Schizosaccharomyces pombe: one gene and its partners. Changing the gene in region 4 together with the main gene of any one other region gives a genetic interaction. Each region holds a gene or a part of one and is shown on either strand. Other genes may lie near its edges. The genes, in order: cid1, pcf2, gdt1 and rad9.

Evidence for each region.
Region 1: of rad9 (region 4) and cid1, extra expression of one rescues a mutant of the other (dosage rescue), as found in Schizosaccharomyces pombe (one study listed by BioGRID).
Region 2: mutations in rad9 (region 4) and pcf2 together harm fitness more than expected from each alone (negative genetic interaction), as found in Schizosaccharomyces pombe (one large-scale study listed by BioGRID).
Region 3: mutations in rad9 (region 4) and gdt1 together harm fitness less than expected from each alone (positive genetic interaction), as found in Schizosaccharomyces pombe (one large-scale study listed by BioGRID).

What each region holds. Positions count from the first base shown.
Region 1 is NC_003424.3:5,201,156-5,208,922, forward strand, and holds cid1 (terminal uridylyltransferase Cid1), read left to right. Parts: upstream 1-5,424; 5' UTR 5,425-5,557; coding exon 5,558-5,801; intron 5,802-5,905; coding exon 5,906-6,046; intron 6,047-6,147; coding exon 6,148-6,980; 3' UTR 6,981-7,267; downstream 7,268-7,767. Other genes in the region: protein tyrosine phosphatase Pyp2, read left to right, coding at 1,668-3,803; protein Emc10, read right to left, coding at 4,309-4,980; ptr1 (E3 ubiquitin-protein ligase), read left to right, coding at 7,621-7,767. UniProt on the Schizosaccharomyces pombe protein: Cytoplasmic uridylyltransferase that mediates the terminal uridylation of mRNAs with short poly(A) tails such as such as act1, hcn1 and urg1 mRNAs, hence facilitating global mRNA decay. Uridylates the 3' ends of actin mRNAs upon S-phase arrest.
Region 2 is NC_003424.3:4,115,435-4,123,738, reverse strand, and holds pcf2 (CAF assembly factor complex subunit B Pcf2), read right to left. Parts: upstream 3,866-8,304; 5' UTR 3,841-3,865; coding exon 3,709-3,840; exon of another isoform or gene 3,614-3,708; coding exon 3,511-3,613; exon of another isoform or gene 3,470-3,510; coding exon 3,227-3,469; exon of another isoform or gene 3,162-3,226; coding exon 2,101-3,161; 3' UTR 1,865-2,100; downstream 1-1,864. Other genes in the region: protein Gid5, read right to left, coding at 1-1,590; mgs1 (DNA replication ATPase), read left to right, coding at 4,766-5,357, 5,401-5,431, 5,477-5,494, 5,539-6,313, 6,354-6,452; RecQ type DNA helicase Hrq1, read left to right, coding at 6,558-8,304. UniProt on the Schizosaccharomyces pombe protein: Acts as a component of the histone chaperone complex chromatin assembly factor 1 (CAF-1), which assembles histone octamers onto DNA during replication and repair.
Region 3 is NC_003424.3:5,537,605-5,545,372, reverse strand, and holds gdt1 (GDT1-like protein), read left to right. Parts: upstream 1-3,891; 5' UTR 3,892-4,234; coding exon 4,235-5,023; 3' UTR 5,024-5,341; downstream 5,342-7,768. Other genes in the region: SPOM_SPAC186.06 (isomerase), read right to left, coding at 2,400-2,954; SPOM_SPAC186.04C (uncharacterized protein), read left to right, coding at 6,272-6,799.
Region 4 is NC_003424.3:1,711,672-1,719,542, forward strand, and holds rad9 (checkpoint clamp complex protein Rad9), read right to left. Parts: upstream 4,046-7,871; 5' UTR 3,866-4,045; coding exon 3,761-3,865; exon of another isoform or gene 3,708-3,760; coding exon 3,374-3,707; exon of another isoform or gene 3,317-3,373; coding exon 2,703-3,316; exon of another isoform or gene 2,647-2,702; coding exon 2,419-2,646; 3' UTR 2,249-2,418; downstream 1-2,248. Other genes in the region: rpl13 (60S ribosomal protein eL13), read left to right, coding at 1-169; ribosome biogenesis protein rlp7, read left to right, coding at 1,146-1,268, 1,486-2,112; bfr2 (traub family ribosome biogenesis protein), read right to left, coding at 4,542-5,742, 5,804-5,903, 5,950-5,997, 6,040-6,049; gamma-glutamyltranspeptidase Ggt1, read left to right, coding at 7,825-7,871. UniProt on the Schizosaccharomyces pombe protein: Acts in DNA repair and mutagenesis. Involved in promoting resistance to ionizing radiation and UV light, as well as regulating cell cycle progression after irradiation. Repressor of entry into mitosis that is activated by chromosome breaks.

The DNA of each region.
Region 1 (7,767 bases), 3.5 Mb from region 4:
TGGGGAAGCAGGCAGAAGAAGATAATTAAGACATATTATTGATGTGAACAAAACAAGGGGATTATTTGGATTCACCTGACGATTAGAAACACGCAGTACATGAGAGTACGTAAAGTACCACCGAGTCATTCACTTCCCTGCCCCCCTCTCCACTTTTCACAATAGCGCATGCCATAGCGACTCAATTTTCTAGTAACGTACGTATAGTCCACATTAAGACAATCTCCCGGCTTTGCAAAGTCTCTTTAATCCTGCATAGTGCTACACAGTACAACTAGTGTTAATTACGAGTTAGCCTTGGTTCGCTGCGGCCCTTTATTTTGCTGTGGCCCAAGAGAGGGCTTCTTCCATGCATTCGGCTTCACTAGATCCGGTCTTACTGTGCTCTAAGCGTCACTCGTCACATTATGCAATATTTCGTTAAATAGTACACCGTATTGCCATCTTACCTCTCGTTATATCTTAGAATAAACGGTCGCTTAGCAGAAAAGTATGGGGAAACCCCTTTAGGTAGCAGAGAATGACGTGACCGTGAAATTAGGTACATTAGTACCCGAACTTTGTTTTCGAGGAATTAAAGAAAAAAATCATCATCAACTTTATAAACTAAAAGAACTCATTTTTCAGCTTCAAAAAATTCCTTGGTTTAGCTCATTTCAATCTCCTTTTAGCCGTTGTTTTTGTTGCCTAAAATTTTTCCTCGTCTACGATCTTGACACGTCATGACTACATAATATTACATTGTATGTTACCTGGTCTCACTGCCCAGTGCCTGGTGCCAAAACCGAGGATCAGACGTAAATCGATCTACATCCTTCTTACATGTAAAATATATATATATATATATGAGGGCCTGGTGGTGAAATGTAGGAAAAACCAAGTTGTACCAATTTTAAGTGTACGAGATTTAGGGATCGCATGGAAGCCCTATTCTTCGTAGAAGAAAATTTTTGTTACGTGTTAAAGTTACTTCAACTTTACCCATCTTGTGTATATTACGTGAAGATTTCACCTATTTGACTCATTTACTAGTTGTTTATTTATTTATTCATATATATTCACTCATCTATCTTTTTTGCATTTTATATCCCAGCGCCACTTCGCGGACTTCTATTTATTTGACAAAAAGGAGCTTTTCTCTGTTCAACATCAATAGGCAATACAAAGGGAAAATCGAGTTGCAGTTTTTCCTTTTCATCACAAAAAAATTAACCACCATCATCCAAGAATACAAAACTTTTAATTTTGTTTATTTTCTGTTTATTAAAAATTTATTTATTTGCTTGTTTGATTTCGTCTCTTTCAATCAACAAGTTTCCTCATTCATCCTTGTTCACGTCGCCCAGGAGTTTCTTTGTCTTATATTTTTGACTCCTTGATTGAACTCGCAAAAAGTCAATAATTGTTATTTTTATACAGTTTCTTCTCTCTTACGTTTCCATTTTGTTTATATTCTTTTTTTCCGAAAGCACACTGTAAATAACTCAAAAAATTTCTCTTAACCCGCACACCTCTTCACACTCGCCTGCTATCTTTTTTTTCGTTTTAATTTGTGTGCCATTTTAAAAGTTTCCTGTATATATATTTTAGCTTGGCCAATCTTGTCTCTGTCCCTTTTACTTAGGATATAACATCTTCCAAGGTGTTTTCAAAAATTTTGTGCTACTATGCTCCATCTTCTGTCTAAAGACGAATTTAACTCTACTCTTAAGTCTTTTGAAGAACAAACCGAGAGCGTTTCTTGGATTATTGATTTGCGCCTGCACTCCAAATATGCTGTTAGCCATATAAAAAATGCCATCAACGTTTCTCTTCCAACTGCGTTGTTACGTCGTCCGTCTTTTGACATTGGAAAGGTTTTCGCCTGTATAAAATGCAACGTAAAAGTCTCGTTGGATGAAATTAATGCCATATTCCTATACGACTCTAGCATGGCTGGCATGAACCGTATTTATGATTTGGTACAGAAGTTTCGACGTGGTGGATATTCCAAAAAAATTTATTTATTAAGCAATGGATTTGAAGCCTTTGCTTCCTCTCATCCGGACGCCATTGTCTCTACCGAAATGGTCAAGGAGTCGGTCCCATACAAAATTGACATCAATGAGAATTGCAAGCTGGATATCCTTCATTTATCCGATCCATCTGCGGTTTCTACCCCTATTTCACCAGATTATAGCTTTCCATTGAGAGTTCCTATTAACATCCCACCACCTTTATGCACACCTTCGGTAGTCTCCGATACCTTTAGTGAGTTCGCGAGTCATGCGGAATACCCTGGATTTTCAGGTTTAACACCGTTTTCGATTCACTCTCCTACTGCTTCTTCTGTTCGTTCGTGCCAATCTATATATGGTTCACCCCTCTCTCCCCCAAATTCAGCTTTTCAAGCTGAAATGCCATATTTTCCAATCTCTCCCGCCATTTCTTGCGCATCTTCTTGTCCTAGTACGCCTGATGAACAGAAAAACTTTTTTATCGTAGGCAATGCCCCTCAGCAAACTCCTGCCAGGCCATCTCTACGATCGGTGCCTTCTTATCCCTCCTCGAATAATCAGAGACGGCCTTCTGCTTCTCGCGTTCGTAGCTTTAGCAACTATGTTAAATCCAGCAACGTCGTCAATCCAAGTTTGTCTCAAGCTTCCTTGGAAATTATTCCACGGAAGTCAATGAAACGTGATAGCAATGCACAGAATGATGGTACTAGTACGATGACAAGCAAACTTAAACCATCTGTTGGTTTATCAAACACACGAGATGCTCCAAAACCAGGCGGTCTAAGAAGAGCTAACAAACCGTGCTTTAATAAAGAGACCAAGGGAAGCATTTTCTCCAAGGAAAACAAAGGACCCTTTACTTGTAATCCCTGGGGTGCCAAAAAGGTTTCTCCTCCTCCTTGTGAGGTGCTTGCGGATTTAAATACTGCTTCTATTTTTTATAAGTTTAAAAGACTTGAGGAAATGGAAATGACTAGATCCCTAGCGTTTAATGACAGTAAATCTGATTGGTGCTGTTTAGCTTCCAGCCGCTCCACTTCCATTTCAAGAAAAAATCGTTACACAGATATCGTGCCCTACGATAAAACAAGAGTCCGTCTAGCCGTTCCAAAAGGATGTTCTGATTATATTAATGCTTCACATATAGACGTTGGAAATAAAAAATATATTGCCTGCCAGGCCCCTAAGCCGGGAACTCTTTTAGACTTTTGGGAAATGGTTTGGCATAACTCAGGAACAAATGGTGTTATCGTAATGCTCACAAATCTGTATGAGGCGGGAAGTGAGAAATGTTCTCAATATTGGCCAGATAACAAAGATCACGCATTATGCTTGGAAGGCGGATTACGCATATCTGTTCAAAAATATGAAACCTTTGAAGATTTGAAGGTCAACACTCATTTGTTTCGATTGGATAAACCTAATGGTCCTCCAAAGTATATACATCACTTTTGGGTGCACACGTGGTTTGACAAAACCCATCCAGATATTGAAAGCATCACGGGAATCATACGTTGTATTGATAAGGTTCCCAATGATGGACCAATGTTCGTTCACTGTTCAGCAGGCGTAGGACGCACTGGTACTTTTATTGCTGTAGACCAAATACTTCAGGTACCAAAAAACATTTTACCCAAGACGACCAATTTGGAAGATTCAAAAGATTTCATATTCAATTGTGTTAACTCGTTGAGATCACAACGGATGAAAATGGTTCAAAACTTTGAGCAATTCAAATTTCTCTACGACGTCGTGGATTATTTAAATAGCGGCGTTAACCAGGCTTCCAAGCCCTTGATGACTTAACGAAACGACTGTTCTTTAATTTTCTGTGTTTGTACACACTATGTTCTATTTATGTGAGATTGTGTAATTCCTCATTTTTTACATTATCTGACGCGAAGGTTATGTTAAAAATACTTAACCACACTCTCCGGTAATCATGTGTAATTCCTTCCTTATTGTTGTTAAAAATTGATTTTATCTCATGCGTGTAATGAATGTTTATATCTAGTTATTAATGAATCTTGTTTATGTTGGAATGGAATAATTGTTAAAGACTAAATTAGTTATGTGCACGTAGAAACTTCCTTCTTTTTTATTTTAACCTTTCCTATACGATATTTCATTACAAATGTTTGTATAGATTTTAAAGTACTATTAAGTATCGTACATCTGGCACATAGCAGTATTATTGAATGGAAATAGATGAATTAGAATATTTGTAAAGAGCACAGTAAGTAGTAGCAATAATCAAAAAATTATCGTAGCCGAGACGCAATTGTTTTAAGGCATATATATAATGACTCGTTTATTTCGCCGTATTTGCTGCCTGTTGATTTGCATTGTTACCAGACATAATTATCAGAAACAATATCGGGATGAGATATAAACCATATTTTTGGAAAAATGTCTTTTCCTCAGGTTCGGACTCTAATTCATCTTCGTCCACATTTGGAGATTCTTCGGTTTTAGAACCCTGTTTATTTCCTTGTTTTTCCTTCTGGGGTTTAGATGGACGTGATCCCTTTTTTCTGACAGCAGTAGTTAAAATTGGAATTGGAGAAGAAGGATGCAATTGCTCGACTACAGCACTTTCTGAGTCGGATGAAAAATCAAATGAGTGGACCACTTGAGTAAATTTTGCAATCTCATTGCTTTCTGATGAATCACAAAGTATGATATAGTGGTCTCTAGGTACTTTTGGAAGGGTTTTTATTTCATCAATTTTGTATTTGCTGGCGCCTGCAAGCCATGTGTTGGTAGAATCTTCGTATACTCCACATTGTACAAAATCAGAGTGAGAAAGATTACTCCAATCAATTTGTGAGTCCGAAGGACGAAATGTCATTTCTGGGATATCAATAGTACCATGTGGAAATATTTCTGTTTGCTCATTATGTGATACAGCGCAAGAAATAGGAATTTCTAATGCATGAGCAACAAAGGCTAAACTGATAAAAATCAAGCCTTGTCCTAGCATTTTTAGTAAATTTCGTAAAATCTATGAGATTAATAAAATATATTATCTTTTCCGGACGAAAATTACTTTTTGTATCTGAAAGTAGGAAGAGCGTAGTGTTTAGGTGTTAAGCTCGTCCATAATCATCAAGTGAAGCTATTTTGCTTAACTGTGACGAAGATAGCTCGCTGACATAAAAATAAACTAAATATTAGTAGTTATTGTTAGAAATATTCATGATTAAGGCTTTCAACGGATTATTTGCTAATTTTCCTTTTTCACATAAACCATTACTAGCCATACAACATTCGCTTCTTAAGTGAGAAAGAAAACATTTGGACCTTAGGATTTCTTCTTCCTAACTTTTTTCAATTACTTTACTGCTTTTTATAGCTCATTCCTCATCCATTAGCGCTGTCACCCCTACTGCTATTAAGTAACATATCAATTGGTAAAGGAGCTTTTGCCAAAAGCAAACACTGTAACTGACTTGCTTCAATTAGTAAAAGGAAGCATCAAAGACCATTAAACAGTGAATAATTACTCAAAGAGAAAGTGAATAAGTTTGCCACTTTCACCTTTTGAGCAGTAGACGAATATGAACATTTCTTCTGCACAATTTATTCCTGGTGTTCACACAGTTGAAGAGATTGAGGCAGAAATTCACAAAAATTTACATATTTCAAAAAGTTGTAGCTACCAAAAGGTCCCTAATTCGCACAAGGAATTTACGAAGTTTTGCTATGAAGTGTATAATGAGATTAAAATTAGTGACAAAGAGTTTAAAGAAAAGAGAGCGGCATTAGATACACTTCGGCTATGCCTTAAACGAATATCCCCTGGTATGTTTGAATATAAATTTAGGACTGTCTCAATTATGTAGTTAACGAGAGTGGAGACTTTACCAAATATTGATAATGTCCAATTCTAATGATATGTGACTTAGATGCTGAATTGGTAGCCTTTGGAAGTTTGGAATCTGGTTTAGCACTTAAAAATTCGGATATGGATTTGTGCGTGCTTATGGATTCGCGCGTCCAAAGTGATACAATTGCGCTCCAATTCTATGAAGAGCTTATAGCTGAAGGTAAGTATAATTATTCATTAAAAGTTATTCAGTTTAGACAAACTATCTCTGAATATTGTTTTTTTCCTTTCCAGTTGGCTCGCATAACTAACTATCGACAGGATTTGAAGGAAAATTTTTACAAAGGGCAAGAATTCCCATTATCAAATTAACATCTGATACGAAAAATGGATTTGGGGCTTCGTTTCAATGTGATATTGGATTTAACAATCGTCTAGCTATTCATAATACGCTTTTACTTTCTTCATATACAAAATTAGATGCTCGCCTAAAACCCATGGTCCTTCTTGTTAAGCATTGGGCCAAACGGAAGCAAATCAACTCTCCTTACTTTGGAACTCTTTCCAGTTATGGTTACGTCCTAATGGTTCTTTACTATCTGATTCACGTTATCAAGCCTCCCGTCTTTCCTAATTTACTGTTGTCACCTTTGAAACAAGAAAAGATAGTTGATGGATTTGACGTTGGTTTTGACGATAAACTGGAAGATATCCCTCCTTCCCAAAATTATAGCTCATTGGGAAGTTTACTTCATGGCTTTTTTAGATTTTATGCTTATAAGTTCGAGCCACGGGAAAAGGTAGTAACTTTTCGTAGACCAGACGGTTACCTCACAAAGCAAGAGAAAGGATGGACTTCAGCTACTGAACACACTGGATCGGCTGATCAAATTATAAAAGACAGGTATATTCTTGCGATTGAAGATCCTTTCGAGATTTCACATAATGTGGGTAGGACAGTTAGCAGTTCTGGATTGTATCGGATTCGAGGGGAATTTATGGCCGCTTCAAGGTTGCTCAATTCTCGCTCATATCCTATCCCTTATGATTCATTATTTGAGGAGGCCCCAATTCCGCCTCGTCGCCAGAAAAAAACGGATGAACAATCTAACAAAAAATTGTTGAATGAAACCGATGGTGACAATTCTGAGTGATTTTACAAAGAAGTCTTAAAAAGCGCATCAATATTCATTCCCCTAGATTCATAGTAATCATTCATTATTACTCTGCTTTTATTTGCTTACTTTTGAAAGCATGGAATGTTTTTATTTTTCTTTAAAAATTTTGACCTCTTGTTTCTAATACCTTTCCCCCTTTGTTTTATGTACAACCTCTTGTTAATAGTCTACTTGTTGGTGAGAAAATAGGCTCATCATAGTTAACATCAATGTCCAAAAAATTTTCATAGATCTATAATTAATAATTATTTATTGCAAATGCTAAGCTATTGTTTATATCAATTTCTTTAAATTGAACGGAAATAACCAAATATTTTTTCGTTTAGCCTCGGTAATGTGCGTAAACACATATAAAGAGTTTATCTTTTTTTCTTAATTACTATAGCGTACAGAAATTATTTTAGCTTATCAAATTTTTTCGTAAAATTCATATTGTTTCCAAATTTGTAGACGCATTGCAGCATGCTAACCATCACATTTGAACTTTTACCAAACATTCAGCTGGGTCTATTTCCCTTCTGTTCGTTGGTACAATTCATTAGAACATAATAAATTTGGCATTTTTCTCAAGGTGGGTATTTAACTATATTTCGAGATTTTGATGCTTTAAGCAAAAATGAGGATAACGAAAAGTCCTCCTAAAAATCAATATTCTCAGCCACCTCCTAGGGTTGCTGAGTTTATTAGACAAGCTCAAAATGAAGAAGTAACTTCAGACTTGGGTCTTGTCTCTCTTTGTTCAGAATTCAGAAAAAACGATTGG
Region 2 (8,304 bases), 2.4 Mb from region 4:
AATGAAATTTGTAGTAAGGAATTTCTCTCTCAAAGGAGAAAACTTAAGTACCAAGTTACAAATGGCAGACGTAGCAGTCGATTTGACTCTAGTATCCGGGTCAGAAAGCAACTTTATTAATGGTTCGCTCACGTCTGCATCGGCAAGGCCCGTACGTAAAATGTAAACGCTTCTCGAGAGACTTAATAAGCATTCACAAGCAGCCTTTTTCACGCTGTTAGAATTGATTTTCAAAGCATTAATGATAACAGGCAAATATTTAGCATCAACTATTAGTTTTCTGTATTCATCTTTAGAAGTTGTTAATGCAGCAACGGCTAGCAAAACTGATTCTAAGATTAGGTTTTTTTGCTCCTTTTTGGTAGCAGGAAGATTAAAACAAACGCTGGATTGCAATTCATCGGATAAAAAATTAATTTCATTCTCTTCTTCTTTAGTTGCGTATTCTAGAAGATATTTGGCAGCATCAATAAAACCTGCATTTACAGCCGTCTTTTGCATAATTTCGTTTTCATTGATTATGATGGCGAGAATACGAGGAGCGATTTGTTTTGCTTCTCGAGATTCAAAAAATAAACGGATGAGAATGGGAGTTACTATCATTTGAATCTCCTTAGTTTGATTTTTAGAAAGGATGCCTGCCTTGTATAGGGTCACTAAACAAGAAATTGAGAGCAAGCGAATACAAGGATCAAACTGTCTAACGAGACAGAATAACTGAGTAATATATTCATCACCATTAGGCCCAAATATCTCTGATTTAAATAAGGCGACCTTATCCTTGTTTCCCTCAAAAACATTTTCAATTTCATCTAAATCCATATCGCGAGGCGAAACGTGACCATTTGATTCTAGCCGGGTTTTCTCTCTTTGTTTATAAGACTTCACATGCTGTTTTAAATAAGCATTCAAAGTACCCAGGGAGTTAGTAATTAAGATAGAGCAATCATTCCAAAATCTTCTTCTGGAATACAAGCGCAATTGGGTAGCTCTGTTAGTGATTTGAAATAAAGCAGAACAGAATCGTGGAGAGTCTCCAACTTTAGAGTTATAAAGGATAAGACGATGCAAAATCTTAGAAGATAAATTTGAGATACGCAACACATCAAGAGAAGGTTGTTCTTTCAAGGGTAAAGTATACAAGTCAAACATTTGATTAATTATAGAGTCCGAATGTAACTGAGTGACATATTCTGCTGCTTTGTCAAAACTCAGCATTGTGTTAAAAACTTTAAGGGTGATATTCAGCATTCCATATGGTGTACTATCCCTTTTCGAAATCATTTGCATAACGGAAAGAAGATCCTCGTGTCGTAAAAATTGAACGAAAGGGTCCTGGTCCTCACTCATCAAGGAGTTTAAAACAACAAAAACTTGATATTTTTCATTCATGGATAAATTTTCTAAGGAAAATAAATTAAGCAACAGCTTTGGAGCTCCATTGCGAATTGCATATTCTTTTCTGTCGGGTCTTCCAATTACCCAATTTTTGAAAGGAACGATATACCTCAACAACTCATGCTCATCCTTAAATATTTTAGGATTTTCTTTAAAAAACGAAGAATCCGTAGAGTCGTTAATGGCGACCATTCATGAACAAAACTTGAAGATATTTGCAAAAAATATGAGACTTCAGTAAATTTGGAAAACTAGCGTGAAAATGAGCTGATTAAATCTTTTTTTAATAAAAGTAGATTATTAGCAATTTAATCTATGCAATGAGTAATGTATAAGATGCAATTCCTATAGAATGGTGGTGATGTTATGTGTAAGAGGGTTCCTCAATACGTATTTTATACTTACAGAAAAGTTACATATTAGTTTTATAGTCTTAAGTAGACAAAAAGTACAAACGATTAGAAGTATTATTTGCTTTTTATATATTTATCTTAACAATTGTAATGAATTTAATTGTGCTTATATCTAAGCAAATTACCGAATGATTACATCCAAAGTAGAATGTACAGTTTTGCCTTCTTTTTTTTTTTTAAAAAAATAAAAGGTTCTTTAAAGTTACTAGTACAAAACAAGAAGTACGAGATTTTTACTCCAAAAATCAAAGCGTATTGTCGAAGTAGAACTTTTTTCATAAACATGAAATTATGGATAAACGGGGGTAGGTGCAATACGCTTCTTTGATACTTTTGAAGATTCAACTTTTCTGGGAATTAGTGTTGTAGTAGCTGGTCCCCCAGCCGTATTGTCTTGTGAATCATCAATACTAGAGGGTGAAGCTGATCGTTTCTCCGGCAAAGAAATTTTGTGTTGACTTTTGACACCCAATTCTCCAGGTTCAAAGGTAATTACAGAACAAAAACCATCTATAGAAGTCATTAACAAAACATTTCCATCATCATTCCAAGCTATGTCTGTAAGGTTAGAGTAATGTAAATTTACTGCACGATAAAATGGTTTGCAAGTTTGCGTATCATAAATATAAACAGCATCTTGACATGCCACAGCAAATACCATTCGATAAGGAAGATTAAAAGAGACAGAAGTAAAAGAGAAGTTAGAGAATGAGTTCAATTCATAATGAATTGGAGAAAAACGAACCGCAATAACTGGTTTTTTGAATCCATTAAGACAAGCTACTGGCTGTTTGGTTATACTCCCTCTTGTATAAATATAAGCAGTATAGGGAACTTCAAAGTTTGGTTGACCGTGCGGTCGAAGCCGACCAGCAGGCGTAACTAGTAGTAATCCGTCAGGGGAGAATGCTGGACGACGAAAAAAAGAAACAAGAGTTTCATTGCAGTACAAAGAGTAACTGATTTTTGAATTGAGAGAATTTGGAGGCTCTGTTCGCTCTAAGCTTCCATCTTTGACTATGTTTGCAGTTGATGAGAGAGCTTCGTGCTTAGATACGGGAGACTCATTATTATTAGAAGTTTCGATAGGTTCTGATATCCCCGATGATTCATCATTATTTAAGGGCTTCGTAACAGATATTAATTCGAATTTAGTTACATTATACTCAATACGACAGATGCGCGATTTTAAAACGAGTTGGAATTTTTTCGGATTCTTTTTTTCCTCTTGAATTTCGTATAAACATATAGAACGATCACTACTTTCCGAAACGATGTATTGATTCAAAGGATCCCAACATACCCCTTGAACGTAATGTGAATGGTCGAATTTTTGAGTAAGCAGTTGCCCTTCTTAGTCAGTAATTTTAATTTAAAAAAAAATATTGCCAATAACAACAACTGCCAATTCATACCTGTGTGAGCATCGTACAACCGAAGACTATTATCCATGGCGCCGGCAATAAGAAAATTACTGTCAACCGACCAGCATAAATCATATATTTCTGAACCCATCGACCTACAAACTATTTTGACCTTCCAATATTCTTTAGCTAGAGCCAACTCTTCCGCATCATCAGCCAAAGTTGTTATAGGAGTGTTAGTTGGAACCCATAACATAATAGTTCCTTCATCTCCGGCGGTAGCAAGAATATTTCCTATTTTAATGTGAGCATTGGAAAAAATTATTAGCGAATACCTTCTGGATTGAAACGAACGACGTTCACTGCTTGCGTGTGTCGACTTAACGTAGACAAATATTCGACTTTTGTGGATGATTCCGAAGTGATCAATTGCCATATCTGGATATTAGTATAATTGAAGGAATTTTCTTTCTTTTTTTTAAACTACAACAAACAATAGTTGAAGCAAAAATAGTTTTATGTCAAATCATTACCCTGATTTTACTGTCTCCTCCACATGTAGCAAATTTATTAAGACTGTTCTTTTGAAAATCAACTGAATAAATAGGTGTGTGATCATCATTAGCATCATAATGCCATCGTATCTGCAAAACCTCCGCTCTCATGTTCCTCTTCGTCGTTAGTGCTCTAGGATCGCTTCGCACAATTTTTCTAATAGTAATTTCGTGAGTACGGAACTAACGTGTATATTATTTAGAGTTCAAAGAGAATTTTTTATGAACTCTCTAATATTGTTGTTATTTCTATTATTTGTCAATTTGCTTTGGGTTCAATGTTCAAGCAGCATTAGTAGTTGGAGGAAAAATTTTGAATTATATGCTGAGTGCCCGTTATACTCTATTTTTTTTTATCTATTTAAAGCCCTTTAGTTTGCACAATAGTCTTCTTATTAGCCGTGCGATTACTATGTTTAGTGTTAGGTAAGTTTATAAGGTTCGATTTCTTATAAATATTATGGACTTTCACAGTTGAAATTGCATCCTTTCCCCTTGGTTTAAAAACAGAGTATTTCATATAATAGAGTACAAAATTTGAGGGTTTAAAACGCGTAGTTTACAAGTCTTGGATCAACATCATTTTGGTTTTTAGACATTTTATTATCTTCCATAGACTCATCATTTCTATTGTTTTTTTTTTAATATCTTATCATTTAGGCGGTGAAATTGCGTATAAAAACTGTCAACTATAATAACACATATGAATTTAAAATCTAACTTTTTCTTGTAAGTAATATTTTTAGCTTAAACAAATACTTTGATATTATTATAACCTCTTACTTCATCGTATAATTCCCTAACTACACGCGACGACTTGGTTCACGGTTTTGTACAATCGATGCCGTTCAGCTCTGTTATATTGCTGTTGAGAGTGTCATAAACAACAAGCAATTTTGATGATCAAAATTCCTTAAACGTTACTTTTTTTTGTAAACTTTCTTGCCAAAGGTCGCTCATTTGTATGTGTTATTGTTTCATTCCAGATTTATCTGTTTACCTTTCGTACCACATACTTTTATCTATGTAAATCAGAATGTCAGGACCAGATCATGTTCAATGTCCTGTTTGCGCGAAAACAGTTACGATGAATGACATTAATCCACACCTTGATTCACATTATTCGGACTCATCAGGCCCTTCGAAACCTGTTTCACCCTTTTTTAAAAAGGAACGCTATAAACATCATTTAGAAACAAATGTCTCATCTCACCAGAGCGCTACAAAATTTATAGAGCCTGAACCCAGCCCTACAAAGAAAACTAAACTTACAAGACGGGATACACGACCACTGGCGGAACGAGCAAGACCCAAATCACTAGATGAATATGTTGGTCAGGAAGAGCTGGTTGGTGAGCGAGGCATCATTCGTAATCTGATTGAACAAGATAGGTGCAATTCCATGATTTTATGGGGTAGTGCTGGAACTGGAAAGACTACGCTTGCTAGACTAATTGCCGTTACAACAAAATCAAGGTTCATAGAAATTTCTGCGACTTCGACGACTGTTGCTGATTGTCGTAAAATCTTTGAAGACTCACAAAATTATCTCACCTTGACAGGAAGAAAGACTATTATTTTCTTGGACGAAGTACATCGTTTCAACCGTGCGCAACAGGATATATTTTGTAAGTTTGATATTTTTTTATCTCTTCAATTAACCATGACTAGTGCCAATGGTTGAAAAGGGTCTAGTTACTCTGTAAGTGATGCATTCTAATATCACAAATGCTAACCTTTGAATTAGGATCGGCGCAACAACTGAGTATGTTTAAACACTAATGTTTTCCACCATGATTAACATTGTAGAAATCCTTCTTTCCGACTAAATTCTGCTCTCATTAGCAGATGCCCCGTTTTTGTGCTTAAGAAACTAACGCGTGATAATGTTAAGAAAATATTAAACCATGCTTGCTTACTGGAAAGTGAGCGACTAGGATCTTCTATGCCCAACGTTGAAACATCTATTATTGATTACATATCTGCTATTACAGACGGAGATGCTAGAATGGCCTTAAATGCTTTAGAAATGTCTATTGGAATGCTAAGACAAGGACCCCTGTCACTCGAAGATATTAAGGACAAGCTAGTCAGATCTTCTGCACTTTACGACAGAGTAGGTGATGTTCATTATGATACAATTTCTGCCTTCCATAAATCAGTAAGGGGTTCTGATGTCGATGCAACTTTATACTATCTGGGTAGAATGCTCGAGTCTGGAGAAGATCCACTGTATGTGGCACGAAGAATGGTTAGAATAGCAAGCGAAGACATTGGAATAGCAGATAATTCTATGCTACCTCTAGCATCCAGTACATTTACTGCTGTTCAACAAGTTGGCATGCCTGAAGCCGATGTAATTCTAGCTCATTGCGCCGTCGCCTTAGCATTAGCTCCAAAATCAGTTGACGTTTACAGATCATATAATGCTGTAAAAAGTTTTTTGTCTTCTCATCCCGATGCTGGCAGGGCTGAAATTCCCATGCATATTCGAAATGCTCCTACAAATTTGATGAAGCAATTAGGATACCATAAAGGATATAAATACAATCCGGATTATAAAGACGGATTAGTAATGCAAGAGGTAATAAAAAATATTCTTTTCAATTTGTTAACCTACTCAGTATTTACCCGATTCTATCAAGGGAACAAAGTTTTATAAGCTACCTATAGAGTTAAAAGAGGATGAAGAAATTAAAAATTTAAAAACTGATACTAAATAATTATATAAGTGATCCTTCACTAATTGTTCATTTACCACGTTATAATGGAAATCATTGTATTTCAATACCTTTGCACTTAGCCCATACTTTAATGGTGAAGGGGTAATGTCTCAAACTCCTATTAAAAAGGAAGAATCTAATGATCAGGATGATAAATTTGAATTTAAAAAATATATTAATGAAGGGAAGCTCCCTCTGAAAGCAGATAATCCCAAAAAAAAACCACAACTTGGAACTATTCAAGCTAATCAGCCTATTCCATCCATATTTGACAATCTTTTTAATTTATTCAAGGTAATTAATACTACATACACTTTTCTTTATTTGAGAAATTCTCTTACAATCACTTTTCCCCTTCTCAATTCGAGTGTTAAGCAAAGTTTGAAAAAGGAGTTGACAATCGGCGATTTATCTCAGCTAAGAGAAATATGTCCTCAAATAATTGAATTAAATTATAAATCACTTGCTAGCCTTGCATTAGAAATCAATAAAAATGTTTACACTGATCTAAACCCTGAGTTGTACACTGGTTCAACGGTCTCACAGAGTTCTGAATATGTTTTGGTTATTGAGCTTTTAGAAACGCAAGAGAGAAGTTCCAAACGAAGGAGACGTGAAGGCCCAACAATGAAGGCTAATATCCAGAGGCAAAAGCTGGATTTTAATAATTTGAAGAAAGCCATAGAGTTACGAAACCAAAAGTTCCTTCAAGGGATTAAAGAATATATAAAAAAATGTCAATTGACAGAACTTGACCCAACGCAACAGCTATTAACTCAATCCCGGAAAAACCAGCCGGTTCCTCCTGATTCACCGAGTATTCCTAATGATTCAATAGAAAACTGCAATTTAAATACTAAAGCGTGCTCAATTGAAGAACTTTTAAATGAAATAGCTTCTGAATCTTCTTACGAAGGGCAAATAGTCCAAGAAGCTTTACATACTTATCCTGCTGTTGAAGCACAATATGGAGCGTTGTCTCGACCTTTGTCTCAAGAGCTTATAAATGCTCTTTATACATCTAGAAACATCGAAAAGACATACAAACATCAGGCAGACGCTATCAACCACCTTTGGAACGGATTTCATGTTATAGTGTCAACTTCTACATCTAGTGGAAAGTCTTTGATTTACCAAATTCCAATTTTACAAAGTTTGTTAGAAGATAATCAATCTACGGCATTTTTTGTATTCCCTACTAAATCTTTAGCCCAAGATCAGAAGAAGTCGTTAATCGATATACTTAGCTATATGCCGACGCTTAAGAATATTCGAGTGGACACCTTCGATGGGGATACACCACTTGAGTCTAGAGAAAGTATTATTAGATCTGCAAATATAATCTTTACGAATCCGGATATGTTACATCAAACGATTCTTCCCAATGCTAATCGTTGGTATTATTTCTTTAAAAACCTGAAACTTTTCGTCCTGGATGAAGCTCATGTGTACAATGGAATATTTGGCGTTCACGTTGCTTTTGTTCTAAGAAGGATGCGCCGTATTGCTGAGTACTTTGGAAATAGTCAATATCGATTTGTATCATGCTCGGCTACTATTGAGGATCCTTTACAACATATGAAAAAAATTTTTGGAGTAGATAATATAAAACTAATTAACTATACTTCTTCTCCTTCTGGTTCAAAAAAATTTGTAATGTGGAATCCACCTTATGTCGACCCCAAGCATCCTGATGATGGAAAGAAAAGCGCAATCTCTGAAGCCTCGAAACTGCTTATTAAATTTGCCGAAAAGCGGGTGCGTACAATTGTTTTCTGTCGTGTTCGAAAAACCTGTGAGTCGTTAATGAGACTAGTGAGGCAGGAATTAAAAACCAAACAAAAAGGAGATC
Region 3 (7,768 bases), 3.8 Mb from region 4:
AAGTTAATAAAATACTAAGTTGAATCGTGATCCACTCAAAGTGCTATCGTAGAGGTCTGCAATCGTATGCACCTATTAAGGTAACATTCTTACTTTAAATCAGTATCTCGATAATTCTTTCTTTATTGCTCTTCCCCCTATGAACACTTCCTTTAAACAATCAAATTATCGACATTGGAGTTCGAACTGATTGATCTTTTACTTCTTATTGTTTCCTTAAGCTCCCCGACACTAAACGAGGCGCTAATCCATCAAATTTATTGAAAGCAAATATGAAAAAAAGGTCAAATTGTTAAAAAAAATTCTTTATTTTTAATTAACTAAATTTTGTATATCAGTTCAATTAATTACATACCTTAATTCAAATCCAAGTATCGAACAGAATAAAAATTTTTACTAATTACTTTATTCTATTTTTACTAAGCATTCATGTTCATCAATTGAAAAATTCAATCCTCCAATTTATTTATTTACACTAAGATTTTTTAATTCATATCTTTCGAATGTGTGATATGAATTGAATTTAGAATATTTAATGGATTGATCGAACTTTATTTTATAAGACTTGTTAACTTGTTTATACTTTATATTCATCACGTTAGTTTATTAGAAAAAAGTCTTTGATAAGTGAACATACAGGAATCTTAAGGAAGACAAATTAAAATTCAAATGATACTTCTTTCATATCATCCCAATTCTACGACACATTAATGGCAGAATAAATTTGCGGATCTGTATTTGACTAATGCCGCTTTATTCTGGATAAAAATGCACTTTGTAGCCTGGTTCAACGATTGTGTTTTACATTCCATATAAGCCGTATTAATTTGGCCTAAGTTACTACTGTCACAGTTTTCATTTTCATTAAACCATTAGATCAACATTCCTCTTTAAAATAATTCAGACTCTACCTCAATCAGTGATGGTTCAAATTATTTACAGTTACCGAACTCTGGTAGGGCGAGCGGACCTACTGATGAATTAGTATGTTTTCGCTAAGTATTATCGTACATCTGGCTCACTATTAACCTATAGTTGAGTAAATAGTACAAGTTTAAAATTCAATAGCTATCATAAATGTTATTATCCCAAAAATTCCAAATGTAGTGTATAATTAACGGGTTTGGTCACTATATAACATTGTGTAGTAATAGTGGAACTAATTTTACAGCAACTTCATCTATACAATCAATATAATCACGTTTAACATGCCAAATATGTCATATCGTATAATATGTTAAATGGAAGAATGAAGGTTATAAAAAATGAAAGTTTTAGCGATTTAAGAGTTATATGTATTGCTTATTTGATACAAAGATTAAGTTTAACATTTTATTTGTATTTATTTTTTACCTAAAAAAGGTTAGAAAAAAGGTCGCATACGCTGCTGAATGGAGAAATTCAGAATATGTCACATTATCTTGCCCAACAACTCTAATGCATATGCGGGTTTATTTAATTATATAAAATAATCCAAAAAACTTATAGCGCTTAAAGGGTTCAACAAATATAGTGTAATACACTCCTGAATAAATTTCTACATCTAAGTTTTGGTTCAGTTCGTTCATAACAATTTACATTAACAATACACACAACCGAAAAATTGTATTTAGTCAAAGAAACAAAATTTAATTATTATGACTTTATTCGAATGATAAGCAACAATATAACTTTTCACGCTATTATTATTATGGAATATACAAAGTCCCGATACCCGAACACTAAAACATCTAATAAAGAGCCATTAATCGTATAACCCAACACTTATTTTGTATTAAAAAAAGGGAAAAGGTATGAATAAGGTAAATACAATAAATTTTCAATGGTTGAGTAGTTTAATGATGGCAAGGGTATTTCTGTTGATATGTTGTTTATTTGACTTTGCAGATTATATAAGTTTCTTAGATAATTGACAGAACCTAGAAATTTTAGGTATTCTTTACAATTCTTAGGTTGTTTCCATTGTAGGACTTTGTCTATATTTTCTTGACAAAATGTAAATTCCTTTTCATAAATATGATACCCTACAAATTCATTTGTTAGTTTGTAAAATTTTGCGCTTTTGCTTGGTTGATAATCAAATGTGCATTTTTCAGTCTCTGTAAAACATCTTTAACATGCTCTACATGTGGTATGTTATATGGGCGATGTTCTAATTCATTAAAAATCAGAACCGATTTTGGTTAAGAAATCACTTTTTTTATCGAAAGAAAAGAAATGAAAAAATAATGAATAATAAATTCAAAATCCGTTGATCAATACATATTGAATATCACTATTTTTAATTGCTATTTTAGGATACCGATATAAAACAAACCCTATTCATTTTTTTAATATTTTCAATATTTATCAGTAACTTAACGAGTGAATATTTTATCAGTCCTTTTGTTAAATAAAAATCAGATTTCTGCAGTTCCAGAAATGCAGATTTTGGATCCGCCACCAACATGAATATCGTATAATCCGTTTGCAGACAACTTGATAGCTACTCGAATTAAAGCATTTCTGCCTAATATCTTTCCTTGATTAAATAATAAATGAGCGAAATCGGAAGAGATTATTGATGGATTATTGAGGGCGAAAAATACACCAACTGATCCAGCTCCACTCCCATTAGCAGGATCTTCATTTACCCCATGAACAGGACAAAAACTTCTAAGTTCGTATGTCCCGTCGTTATACATTCCAAAAATTTGGACGCCAGTCAACGAATTTTTTGAACAGCACTCAAAAATAGCTTGAAAATTAGGATTCAAGTTCAAAACATCAGCACCGTTAGGTAGTTGAATTATAGCATTCCTTGGACCAACATCTACACAAAAAGGAGTATTGCATTGTGAACATGAACCTTCACATAAATTCAAAAATTTTTCCAAATCTACTATTACTTCTGGTGAGATACTTGAAGTCTTATAACTCGGTAATTTGAAAAGATATCCAAGTTTGATTGACATCTTCGTTATGTAACGTCAATTCAACAAGGCCGGAATTACATTGCTGCACTACTTTATTTTTCTTGGCACTACAAGACTTATTGTCCAACAAAACAAAGCATGATCCGATAGTAGGATGACCAGCAAATGGAAGCTCACAACCCGGTGTGAATATACGAATTCTGTAATCTGTTCCTGGGATGGTAGGCTTCTGTATGAATGTTGTTTCGGATAGATTGGTCCACTTAGCGATTTGTTACATTTGCGTGCTGTTTAAACCGTCAGCGTCCAAAAAAACTGCCAGAGGATTACCAGCGTATCCTTTAGTAGAAAACACATCGACTTGCCTGAATGGATATAATGCCATTCGTGCAGATAAAGCTATGTTAAGTAAAGCTAAATAATTTTGTCAACAGCTTAACTGAGAAGGGTTTATATATTAAAAAAATTTGATTAGCAAGATACAATCTGAAACTCTTATCTAGCTATGTCTACTGATGTATAAAGATAAACTGGAAATAGTGAAACCTAATGTTCGACGTGCTACGATTATCACTATTTGGTTTCCTGTAAAATTTTTAATACAGTCACTACGTTGCGTATCATTATACGTCACATGTTCATAATGTTCTATTTGCTCTATCAACTTCACATAATAAGTTATTAATACGGTTGTAATATCATTTATGATAAAGTAACTAACTATCAGTTAAAATTGTTGCTATTTTAAATGTTATAAGCAATATCAGTTATTGGTAACATTATAACCTAGATAATACAATGCCTATACTCATCTGCTACTTCTACTACCTGTGTATCGCAATATAATAGATCACAAGGAAAACTTGCCGCATTTCTACGTATCCTTAAATCAGATACCAAACTGCCTAGCTGACAAAATAAAAATGGTCGGTAATTTTCCCATGCTTATATATTACTTTTTTTCCGGTGAAAAGCTAAGTTTTCCCACATCCGTGTTGGTAGAATCTAACGATTTTGTTTCTTTAAGCTTCGGATTGGATCATCCGTGACTCAACTTCTTCTATACATAAAGTGTGCGTTGTAATTTTCGATAATGTTTTAAACATCGAAATTTTTTGTTTGTATTTTAGAAGGCCTTAAGTTTGAGACATCATTATATTCGTTATCAGCATTGGCCATCAATTACCAACTTTCGTTGTGCCTAACCACCTGAATTGCAAATTTTAGATTTTTATTGAGTGAAGCTTCAAATAACTGTCGATTAGAGTTATTGCTTATTCATTGTTTTATCTTCCTTTACCCTCTAACGTAAATGAATCATGATTAATGTTGAAAGTCCCTTAAATTTGGAAACTACTTTAGGCAGTTTGCAGTTTAGTCATGGTTCCGTTCAAAACATTGGAATGTCAATATCAATGATCATAGGCTGTGAGCTTGGAGATAAATCTTTCATCGTTACTGCTCTGTTGGCATACCAATATGGACGGGCATCCGTTTTTTTTGGTTCATATTTGGCTCTTTTTTTTATGACTTCGTTTGCTGTGTTAGTTGGGCGTGCTGCCCCTTTTCTGTTCCCTAAATCGATAACACATATTCTTGGTGGAACACTATTCTTGATATTTGGGGTAAAAATGCTGAAAGAGAGTAAAGAGGTCAGAGAAAGTCAACAGTCTCTTGAAAATGAATTTGACAAAGTCGAAAAAATTATTGTAAACGAAGAAGATATGAAAAAAACATTAGAATTGGGATTACCAGCCAGCAATAGAAGCAGCTCTACGCTTAAAGACAAATTTTTCAAAGTCTTTAGTATGAGCTGTTTTAAAAATCTGTTTTCGAAAAAATTTTCCCGGGCTTTCATAAAAGCTTTCGCACTAATTTTTGTTAGTGAGTTGGGGGATCGTTCTCAAATTGCTACCATTGTTATGTCGGCAAAGGAGAAGGTGCTTGATGTTTTCATTGGGGTGAATATTGGTCATATGCTGTGTACAATGGTAGCGGTGATTGTCGGAAGATACATATCAAATAAAATCGAAATGTATAAGGTACTGTTCTTTGGAGGGATTGTATTCATGATTTTTGGGATACTGTACATTTTTCAAGGCTTTTGATGATGATGGTTACAATTTTTATTACTTTGATATTTTATAGCTAAGTGAAGAAATAATTTTCAACGGTTGCTACGTTTTATACCTTCCGATAATGCTTTCAGCGTTAACATACGACTCTTTAAAGTCCTTATTTAGATTTTCCAAAGGATTTAAATTCTTAAAAAAGCAATGCCATTTACTCGTTGTGAGAAAATTATTTTGATCGGAAATGACTTATTTTGCTAATTTATCTGTCAGTTGGCACCAAATTCTCTGTATTTTGATACTATTTTTTAATAACTTCAATGCAATAGTTTCGTACAATTAACTGTATACTGGTTACTTCAAGTACTATACTATATATGGAATTAGTAATTTAATAGCTACTTTTGTACAAATGTATATTTTAGAAATTATTTATACTATTATTTGCATTTTTGACATATTCTGTTTTTGATAAAACTTGTTTATATCAATATTCAATACTTATTTACAATTTTCTCATTAATTGTATTTTTCTCTTTATTTATTTATTTATTTTTTTGTCACTATACAATTACTCTAAAGACCATACTAACTCCATTGCAACGTTTTTCATAGATCGCTTCTTTAAAAATAATGAGAGCTACAAATTAGAAAAGTTGGTTGACAGTACTTACTTACTCTTTACTAAAAGGAAACTCTTGAGATGAGAGATAGACTCTAATGGAGTCCGAATGAACCTGACCCCACTTAAAACTCCATTAGGAGTCGACTAGTAGTACTTCGAAGCCCACTAAGCGAACTTCGGATGAAGTACAGCTACTCCTCTTTATAATGACATAATGACATAAAGGTCAATAAAAAATGGCGAACCGACTACACGATCCAAAAGGACTACCACCTATGGTTTCAATGATTATATTAGCCTATCCACGGCCCATTCAGATTCTGTGAAATACCGAGTACAAAGAGGTTGTGCTGTAAATTATATAACCAAGGTGATCGGTTACATTGTCCACATTAATACTTGAGACCGATAGGCACATATGCGAATGCGTATACTAAAGGATTATCTGTTGTGGAAGCAATCATAAAGAAAACTTCATACGTTTCAATAGTTTTTCCTTACTAAAGCGCAAGCATTTTGTTAAAAAATCGAAAAGAAAAAGTTGTAAGAAAATTTCCCCACCTTCTTCATAAATCAATTAAACTTCGTCCGGGTGTATCCAAATACGTATCGTGAAATTTCCATATAAGTTGAGGTCATTCCTCTTCATTCTATATTATATGAACACTTCTTCACGAATTCAATTGCCATCATCGAACGATGCGCACGTTTATGATGGCCGATCCAATGAACCAAAAGCTTCAAAAAGATCCTATGTTAATCTTACACGACAAATGAGACCTAAAGATGCCTTGAAAATGAATATCTCTTCTCCAAACCTTAAGGACCTAAGCAAATTTGCAGACCCAGATGCTCAACAATGGCTTGAAGGGTATTTGGCTGGAAAACTTGAGGATAATTCTAAAACTCCTCGTTCAAATTTTGTCGATCCTCTTTACGAAGAATTAAATGCGCGAAGAAAACCCAACAAGCCGGTGTGGAGTTTGAGTGGCCCTTTGCCGCATGTTCTTGGTAATTCTGTGGTTGAGAAACTAGAGGCTCGTTCTAGAGCTTCATCAGTATCAAATTCTAGACTAAACTCCAGAACTAACTCTTCAGTTTCTCTGAAAGGTATGGATGGATCATCCAGTTGGAAAAATAAAATAAAAAACGCAGTTTCTAATGTCACGGATCAGAGTAAACGATGAAAAACTAGCCAATGAAAATCATTCAGTCTTTATGGTAGAGCAAGTAGGCTTTAGTTCAAAGCAATTCTTATTTCTACAAATCATCAATCGCCCATAGTAAGGTGTAAGGTTATACTCAATTGAATTTACTCTTATGAAATTACAACGTAGATCGTTTTACGAATGTGGTTCCGTGATTCAAAAACAGCAGTCAGTTTTACATAGCAGTAGAAGAAGTTAAGACTGCCAGCTGATTATAAATAAAGAAGTTAATGAAGTCACTTTTAATTCGTGTAGCAAAAACAAATTTTTATTCCTTAACTACTGGTGCAAATTAGGCATTTGCTTCTTAAGGTTCTGCTGAGTTTTCGGGAACTCAAGTTTGGATGTCTTTGCTGTAGGGAAGTAAAAGCTACTTCTATGAAAGAAAATGTTGGAAGTTTTCAATCTCTTTCTTTTCCTTGGGGCTTTTGTTTGATGGTTAGCGTGCATAAATCTGGTAGCGATGTTAATCCAGCTACGACTATCTCATTAGCCATAATTCGCAAATTTCTTCGCGAATAGTGTCTATCTTGTCTACTTATAAATCTAGGGTGCATTCCAAAAAATGTACTCGCTTATGGTTACCACCAGAGTTTGATTACTGAATTTGGGGGATATTAGGATATCAGAGCACGGCTACAAGTAGTTGTTTGTAGTTCAATGGAAAACATTACGACTTAAGGAAACGCATTTTTTGTAAGTTTTTTGGAACAGCTGTTTTGGTATGATACCATTCACCAGTACCCTGAGGCATGTTTGTATTTTATTAATTTACTTTTTGCGACTGCTAATATGACTCTTCGATACCTGCCAACTTAAATCTAAATTAGCATGAGGTGTAGAATGTCGTATGTCTGTATGGTGGAAGTAGGGTGTTCGGGAATATCATAGGGGTTGATATTGCCGGAGTAATTGTTCTGATTTAGTAATATACTGGCCCAGTGTTTG
Region 4 (7,871 bases):
TCCCATCACTCAAGAAGCTGTTGAGGAGGCCAAGCCCATTACTGAAGAAGCCAAGAACTTCAACGCTTTCTCTACCCTTAGCAACGAGCGTGCTTATGCTCGTTATGCCGGTGCTCGCGCTGCTTTCCAAAAGAAGCGTGCTGAAGAGGCCGAGGCTAAGAAGAAGTAAAATGTCTGTAGTTAATGGATCAGGCAGAACTGGAGTATAAATATTTTGTTTGAATTTGGGTAACTTAAGCTTTTTATGTACATTCGCAAACAGTATTGTATCCAGTAGCAGAAGTGGAAGCTAGTTCACTTAAAAAATTTTAAGTAGTTTCACTAAAATTCCTATTTGCATATAACATTGGTGGCTGTTTAAGAGCGTGGTAAATATTGTAGTCTCTTGAGTTTGTAAGTCGTACAGTCGTATTGATAGAATAACCTTGTAATTTCATTTTGAATTGCAAGGGCTTTCATGCATTTTCTTACAGTATATGTAAATTTGTGTTTATCAATTGTTTCCTTTTAATAATTGCTTTCTGATTTTTATAAATGTATATGATTATTTTACATAAATTGCGTGTGGAAAACTATATTTCATCAATGTCACATTTTTTTTTTCAGTTTAGGATGAATGACATTTAAACGGCTACCCTAAGAAGTTAAGGGCTAATAATACAATTATTCAACTTCTCATGTGTTTTCGCACTGTTTCGATTAATGTTGTGCAAAATTTATCATCTCCATATCCCACGTCCCTGAGGAGTTTGAGCACCAGGTGATTACATTCAACATTGATAATATTCCTATTAAAATCGTTTGTATATCTTTTAAACATGAATTTCAATGGTACAAGGTCAATTAGATAAAGTTTGGTCTTGGTTATTAGAAAGAGATGCTTCGATATGGAAGGAGCAATCTACTATTGTGCAATTTTTGTTATATTGTCAAATTAAATTTGCCATAGTTTTTAAACACCATTTTTTACCTTTAAGTACACATTTCAAAGCCTATTTGAAAATCGCTTCAAAATTTTTTTGCGCTTATTAGCGGATTGTAACGAAGAACATTATGTGTCTTAAAGCAGTCACATTTCATAGCTATAATTTTTCGTCTGTCTATAGTCCCAACGTGCCCTCTACTCGTTACTAACAGACGATAAAATGGCGGAGGATGCACCGGTTGTACAACAGACTATGCTTGAACCTGAGGTGCTTTTAAAAAAGCGCAAGGTCAATGAGCGTACTCGGAAAGAACGTGTTGAGCAGGCTATTGCCAAAAAAGAGGTATGTGAATTGCTTGTTCTACAGGTTTGAAATATCCATAATATACATATTTATATGAAAAAGATGAACCTTTCACTCTTGGATTGCTAGTTTCGACGATGCTGCTCCAAAATACCATCTTTCGGCTGATTCATATATTTTGTATTGGTTAAATTTAAACCTTTGACTTCATCAATTTTTATATATTGTTAAAAACATTTTACTAATTTTACTCCAGGCCCAGAAGAAAAATCGTAAAGAAACCTTCAAAAGGGCTGAGACTTTTATTAATAACTACCGCCAACGAGAAAGAGAACGGATTAGGTTAAATCGATCTGCGAAAAATAAAGGAGACATTTTCGTGCCTGATGAAACAAAACTTCTTTTCGTTATTCGAATTGCCGGAGTCAAGAATATGCCTCCTAAAATTCGCAAAGTTCTGCGCTTATTACGCCTTTCTCGAATTAACAATGCCGTTTTTGTGCGAAATAATAAAGCCGTTGCTCAAATGCTTCGAATCGTCGAACCTTATGTTATGTATGGTATTCCCAATTTACATTCTGTTCGTGAACTCATTTATAAACGTGGCTTTGGTAAGATCAATGGTCAGCGTATTGCTCTCTCTGATAATGCATTAATTGAGGAGGCCTTGGGCAAATATGATGTTATTTCCATTGAAGATATCATTCATGAAATTTACAATGTAGGCTCTCATTTTAAGGAAGTTACTAAATTCTTATGGCCATTCACTTTGACTCCAGTTAAACACAGTTTGATGGAGAAAAAGGTCAAACATTTTAATGAGGGTCGAAAGGCTGGCTATTGTGGAGAAGAAATTAACGAATTGATTAAGAAACAAGTTTAAAACTTTCTTTGAGTTCGTGTAATGACTTAAATTTTGCATTCAGATGAAAATGCAAAAATGTATATTAGACTTTTTATAGGCCGTGGATTGGAATTTAATTAATTGGGTTACATTATTCACTATCTTATTGATTTATTAGAACTACTATGTAACGTATCGTATGATGAGGGTAATTTTGTAGTTAAAAAAAACTAAATTATTGATAAATATTGTACATTATATAATATGAGTGCTGTGTTTTATGAGGTTGTCACAAGCACCTGTAAATGTTCATAATTTTACACACCATAGCAAAGAAGGATTTTCCTAGTCTTCCTGAGAGAAAATGCCATGATAACTTTGTTCAGCTTGCGTTGGTCCAAATTCGGCATCATCGTTCACATCATTATTAAAAGCAGCAAGCTCGGATTCATTAGGAATACCATCTAAGAACAATGATTGACCAGCATCGTTTGTGGTTGATGGCTCCTTAATGCCATTAGTTTCGTCGCTTCGGTCAAGCGCAGAATTAAACATTCTGGATGAGTCACTTTGCTATAAAGTTAATGTTAATAAATTATTGTACTTAGTACTAAAGCCGAATTACATACATCAGTTTGCCATCCAATAGATCCAGGGGGATTATGTGCTACAGCAGTCAATGAGTTGTTGCGCTCTACTGAATTGAACAGAGAAGCTGGTGTTGAACTGTGCTGCCATCTATTTCCCATCATAGATGACACCTCTTGTTCATCTGATCCAACTACAGTTGCAAGAATGAACTGCGCTTCAATTTCGGAATTTTTCCCTTTTGCAAAAGTTAAAAGTATCGGTTTTCCTGGGACACCGTAATATGCACAAATCGAGCTTCCCAATGCCTCTGCTAAAATGACGGCAGCACGAAATTCACGTAGAGAAAGGGTAACAGAGACTCCCTCATTAAGTGCGACGCGTTCAAATTCTTTACCATCAATGGAAACAGTTGTTTGGGTAGGTTGCTTCAAAATATCTCTATTATGTACGACCTCTTCTGTGAAACTTGTAAGTAAAACACGTTCTTGAAGTGGTTGAATTGTAAGCTCTTCCGTTCTCTGACCAAAATGTTCAGTCAAATCTTTTAGAATTTTTGAGTTTATTTGAAAATTATTGTGACTAAGAGATTTATCAAAAACAGCGTGTAAAGTTTGGGTTTGTTCATATGATATTTTATATGTTTTAATCACTCCTTGATGAATAAACGTTAGTAGAGCAAATAAAATAATAAGACGGACAAACTACGTACCGTGCTTGCATAAGAATTTAAATATAATCCTACACTCGCTACCAGTAGAGATTGAGATTTGAACATTCTCGACAATCACATCTTTTCTGCTTGCAGATTCACTGCCATAACCGTTCTTGCTATTGGTAGTGACGACAGTCGGGATGAAATCAAAGATTTTGTTTCTAAACACAGATAGTATGGGCTTGACTTGCGTACGAATACGTATTGTAGGAGTCATCAATCCCGTCAACAGGACGGAATCCGGCTGAAAAATGTACTTGTCAAAAAATGCCTTTTTTAAAGTCACCATGCTAAATCCTGACCTAGAAGAATTTAAACATGTAATCTCTATCTTTACCAATTAGTTTCAATGTTTAGTAAGGTTTGAAAAAAGTTCCAACACACCTGATTTTTGTTAATTTCCCAGTTGACAGCATCATCGATTCTAGAAAGATTTGTAAAGATCCTTGCGAGGTCCCGAAGATTAACATTTGAAACAGTGAATTCCATTTTATATACCAGTACGTGAATTGATGTAGACGAATGCTGAACGAATAACGATAGTTTCTAGTCGATATGACGATTAATTTCTTAATTCATGCTAATAGAAGTAAATAAATCTCGACAATTTTTGACAAACAGAATTGAAACTGGTATATACAGAGGTAAATCTATAATGTGGTGTTTTCTAGCACCTGCTTTAACGCACTTATATTAGTATAGACACGCGCGCCGAAATTTGTACGAAAGTGTAATGGCCAACATCAATCGCAAAATAATCTGTATATACACAATGAATTGTAATAAGAAGAAACTTATAGCTGCTTTTAATTTGCAGCAGAAAGAGTTCAACTGTACATCATATAAACGTACATACTTTTATGCTTAAAATACTAAAGTGCACAAAAACTAAAACCTTCAGCCCAAGATAACCCTTTATTACTTGTAATTGCCCGACATTGTGACCATCTATGTAACCATATATATGTTAAATTTTTTTATTAACCTAAATAATTGTAAACGAAATATATTATAATAGAACCAAAATCCGCGAATGCCCTTTTTAAAACCGAAAAAAGATATACTGTAAGTAAAAATAATCATGCACCCTAAATGTTTAGCACAGCTTGCGTATATTAAAAAAAAGACAAATAGTGAAGCTTATCCAACACGCACAAGCTTATTTTCAACCGAAGAGAGAAAATCCGTCGTTGGAAGAGATCAGTTCATCATCCTTCTCCACGAAGTTTGAAGTATTTGTATCATTAGCTGTCTCTGATAAATCTAATTGTTGACCCAACAGACTACTAAACAAATCTTCAGTTTGTTCATCCGGCCATACAGTCACTTCAATGGGAGCCATAAAATTTTGTAATTTATCATGAACGTGATACCTTATTTTTCGACCTTTGGATGCCTTAGTATCAACGTTTTCTTTCTTCTGTTTTTGCTTTTTTGTAGCCATCCAACGAACAGTGCCATCTCGAGTAGAGTCTGCCATTCTAGAATTAATGAAATCCTTCAATAATGATTGATAAAAATCCGTGTCGTTGTAAATTTCGGGATTGAAAGTTTTGTTGTTAGGGTCACTGTAATCAATTCTAGTGCGCTCGACCAAATCTTTCTTGTTAATCATAGAATTTTCGATTTGTTGAACAATACTTTGATTTAGAGCCTTGAATTTGTTAGATTGCGAAATCCCTTGCACTGCTTGAACCCGATTATGCCATTTGGTTAAAGTATCATTTTTCCACTCATTCAAAGAGTCGTCAAGGTTATTCATTTCTAAAGCAATTTCTTCTAGACTAACAGGATTCTCTTTTCTTTTTGATCTACTGTCAAGAATTTCCACTCCAGAGTCAATAAGTAAGTTTTTCCTCAGCTGTAAAGTGTGTTGAATAAAAGATACTAAACCATCTCGGGCTTCTACTTTATCACCTTGAAGTTGGTTGCTGGAAGAAAGAAGTTGACTACATCCTTTTTGAAGACGGATTCTAGTATCTAAAACATTATCGTAAAAACGCATCTGCTCCTTCAAAGCTAAACCCTTTTTCATGTCTTCAAGGGCGGATGTACGAATTTGATCAGATAGCTTTTTCTCTCCATTTATAATCTTTTTTAAACGATCCATGTCTTTTTCAGGAATGGCAGAAGATTGGTCGTCATCTTCATTTTCCTCAGAAATTGATGAAGCTTCTGAGCTTGAAAAATTTTCGTGATCTTCTGAAACTGCATCATTTTCGTCTTCCTCCGAATCTTCTTCTTCAGATGGTGATGAAGATTGAGAGTTTAAAGAACCGCTATTAAGTAATTCCTGGCGAGACGTTTTTCTTCCTTTAAATTTTGGGTCTAACTGAGGAGCCTGTTTTGAGCGTAATTTACTTTCACTATAAAATATGAAACATTAGTATAAGCTCAAATACGCAAAAGTAAAAATTTTGAACATACCTAACATCAACATAATGTTCTCTCCCTAAGGTATCGTTTTCTTCTTCGCTAGAGTCCTCTCTATCAGAGAATGCGTCCTCTAAAGCTTCAGGGTCTCTTTCTATTTATGTGAGTAAGAATCCCGGAATTTTTCGTTAATAACATACCCTGCGGTTGAGGGTTTAGCATCCCTGCCAATTCATCTTTTAAAGAAACTAAAGATTTATTAGAACCTAAAAATATCTTATTGAACTTACCTTTACCCATTTTGAGCAAATTTTGATGTGTCTGGGACTGGGTAAGTGAAGGGGTGTGGGTTAGCAAAATTATCATTGTATGAAATAAATATAAGAATGAAGTTTGAAGGCATTTATCGGATTCAGCTAGTACAGACGAGGTTATATTACTTTGTTTGAAATAAATAATATGGTTTTTATGAAGCAACCAAAAGTTGAAAAAACGAACACAGCACGAGAGTTGATTATATTAGTAAAACGACGTAGAGAATGCAACCGACTAAAGTATCGATTTTTAAAGGGCTAAAAATTGTTCGTTAAAGCTCAAGGTAAAAACTCGGAAATTCCCCACATCTTGCTTCTTTCTGTCTAGACAATGTAACTAAACAATTACCAATTTATTATTTTATTGTTTGACTGTGTATTATGCTAACGAGTATTATGTCTCTCTAAAACTGTTATAAGAATAGGAGTTGAGTTTTGGTAAGTGTATGCTTGCTGTTTCCAATAAAAGCGGTCTCTATTTAACTTGTTGCTTATTTTTAAAAAGCAAAAAAATATCTTAAAACAGTGTTGATTTTAAGTAATGTTTACAATTAAATTCAAAAATTTCGTTACACATACGATTCGAAAATGGGGTGCTGCTGTAAAAGAACGAGACGTAAACTCTTATACTTAAAAAAATAAAATAAAATCTAATTTGTTTTTTTTAAAGTTTCATACCTTGCTTTTGTCAATATTATTCCAATACCCTTGCATACTGCTTTTGCTCAATAATATTTTAAATCGAATCGGTAACAGAGTATATGTGAAAGAAAATAAAAACATTTAAAAAAAAGTTTTTCAAAAAATCTGGAACCAAATGAATTGGGCATTGAAATACTATTTGTCCTTGATAAAAATCTTTGCCCATGTAAATAAATCCAGGATTAGACTAACACATCAAAATTTGAATTAATCGATGAGTTAAAATGAATCGCTTTCGACCCTATTATATTAGTTTTATATCAACTATAAGAAAAAAGTTCCTAAAAACAATTTGTAATATCATAAACATCGATGTTGCAAACCATTATTAGACAGATAGATGAAAGACTACAAAATCAAATACATTTAATACCGATTTTCTATTATCTATCTTTCATGGAATATCCATTTTCAAAGTGCTCATTCATAAACATTGAATGAATTGTGCATTCATCGCCATATTATTCGGCCTCGCTTACTAGTCGATCAATTGGGATTTTCGAAGGATCTACCTATCGATTTAGAAATTTTTTGCCAATATGCGGTTTTTAAAAACAAAAGATATGAAAGATATTTTAGTCAGTAAAATGCATTTGTTAGTTTTGCCGGCTTCACAGTCAAAACCATGTTTTCGGTTGTATAAATTAGATATGTGGTTTGCTCCACCAATTTGCCTCCCGCTTATTTCTCTCAACTTGCACGCACACAGCAAACTCGAGCCGTTCTCTTGAGAAGCAAGGATTTCTTCCGTTGAATTTATTTAAAGCTAACGCTATTCAATTATTGATTAGCCTTGTTGATTTCTTCATGCTAATATCGTAAAAAAAAGGTGTAGAAGTTGCGGTTGGCTTTCTTTAGTCCATTTTGGGTCATTTTTCCCCAAAAATTAAATTTGTTAAATTAGAAGTTCTTTTCATTTTCTTCATCCATACCCTCTTCTCAAAGGTTTTGTGCAAGATTCCTTAATCTTGGTAAAGGTATTTTTTTTAAATTTAATTTCATTCCATTTCATACCTTGTTTTTTTTTTTTTGGATATTTTCAGCACTTTTTAAATTGTGATGGGTATCAATACGTCTTCTGCTCAGAGTTCAGGGGCTGCTTCCAT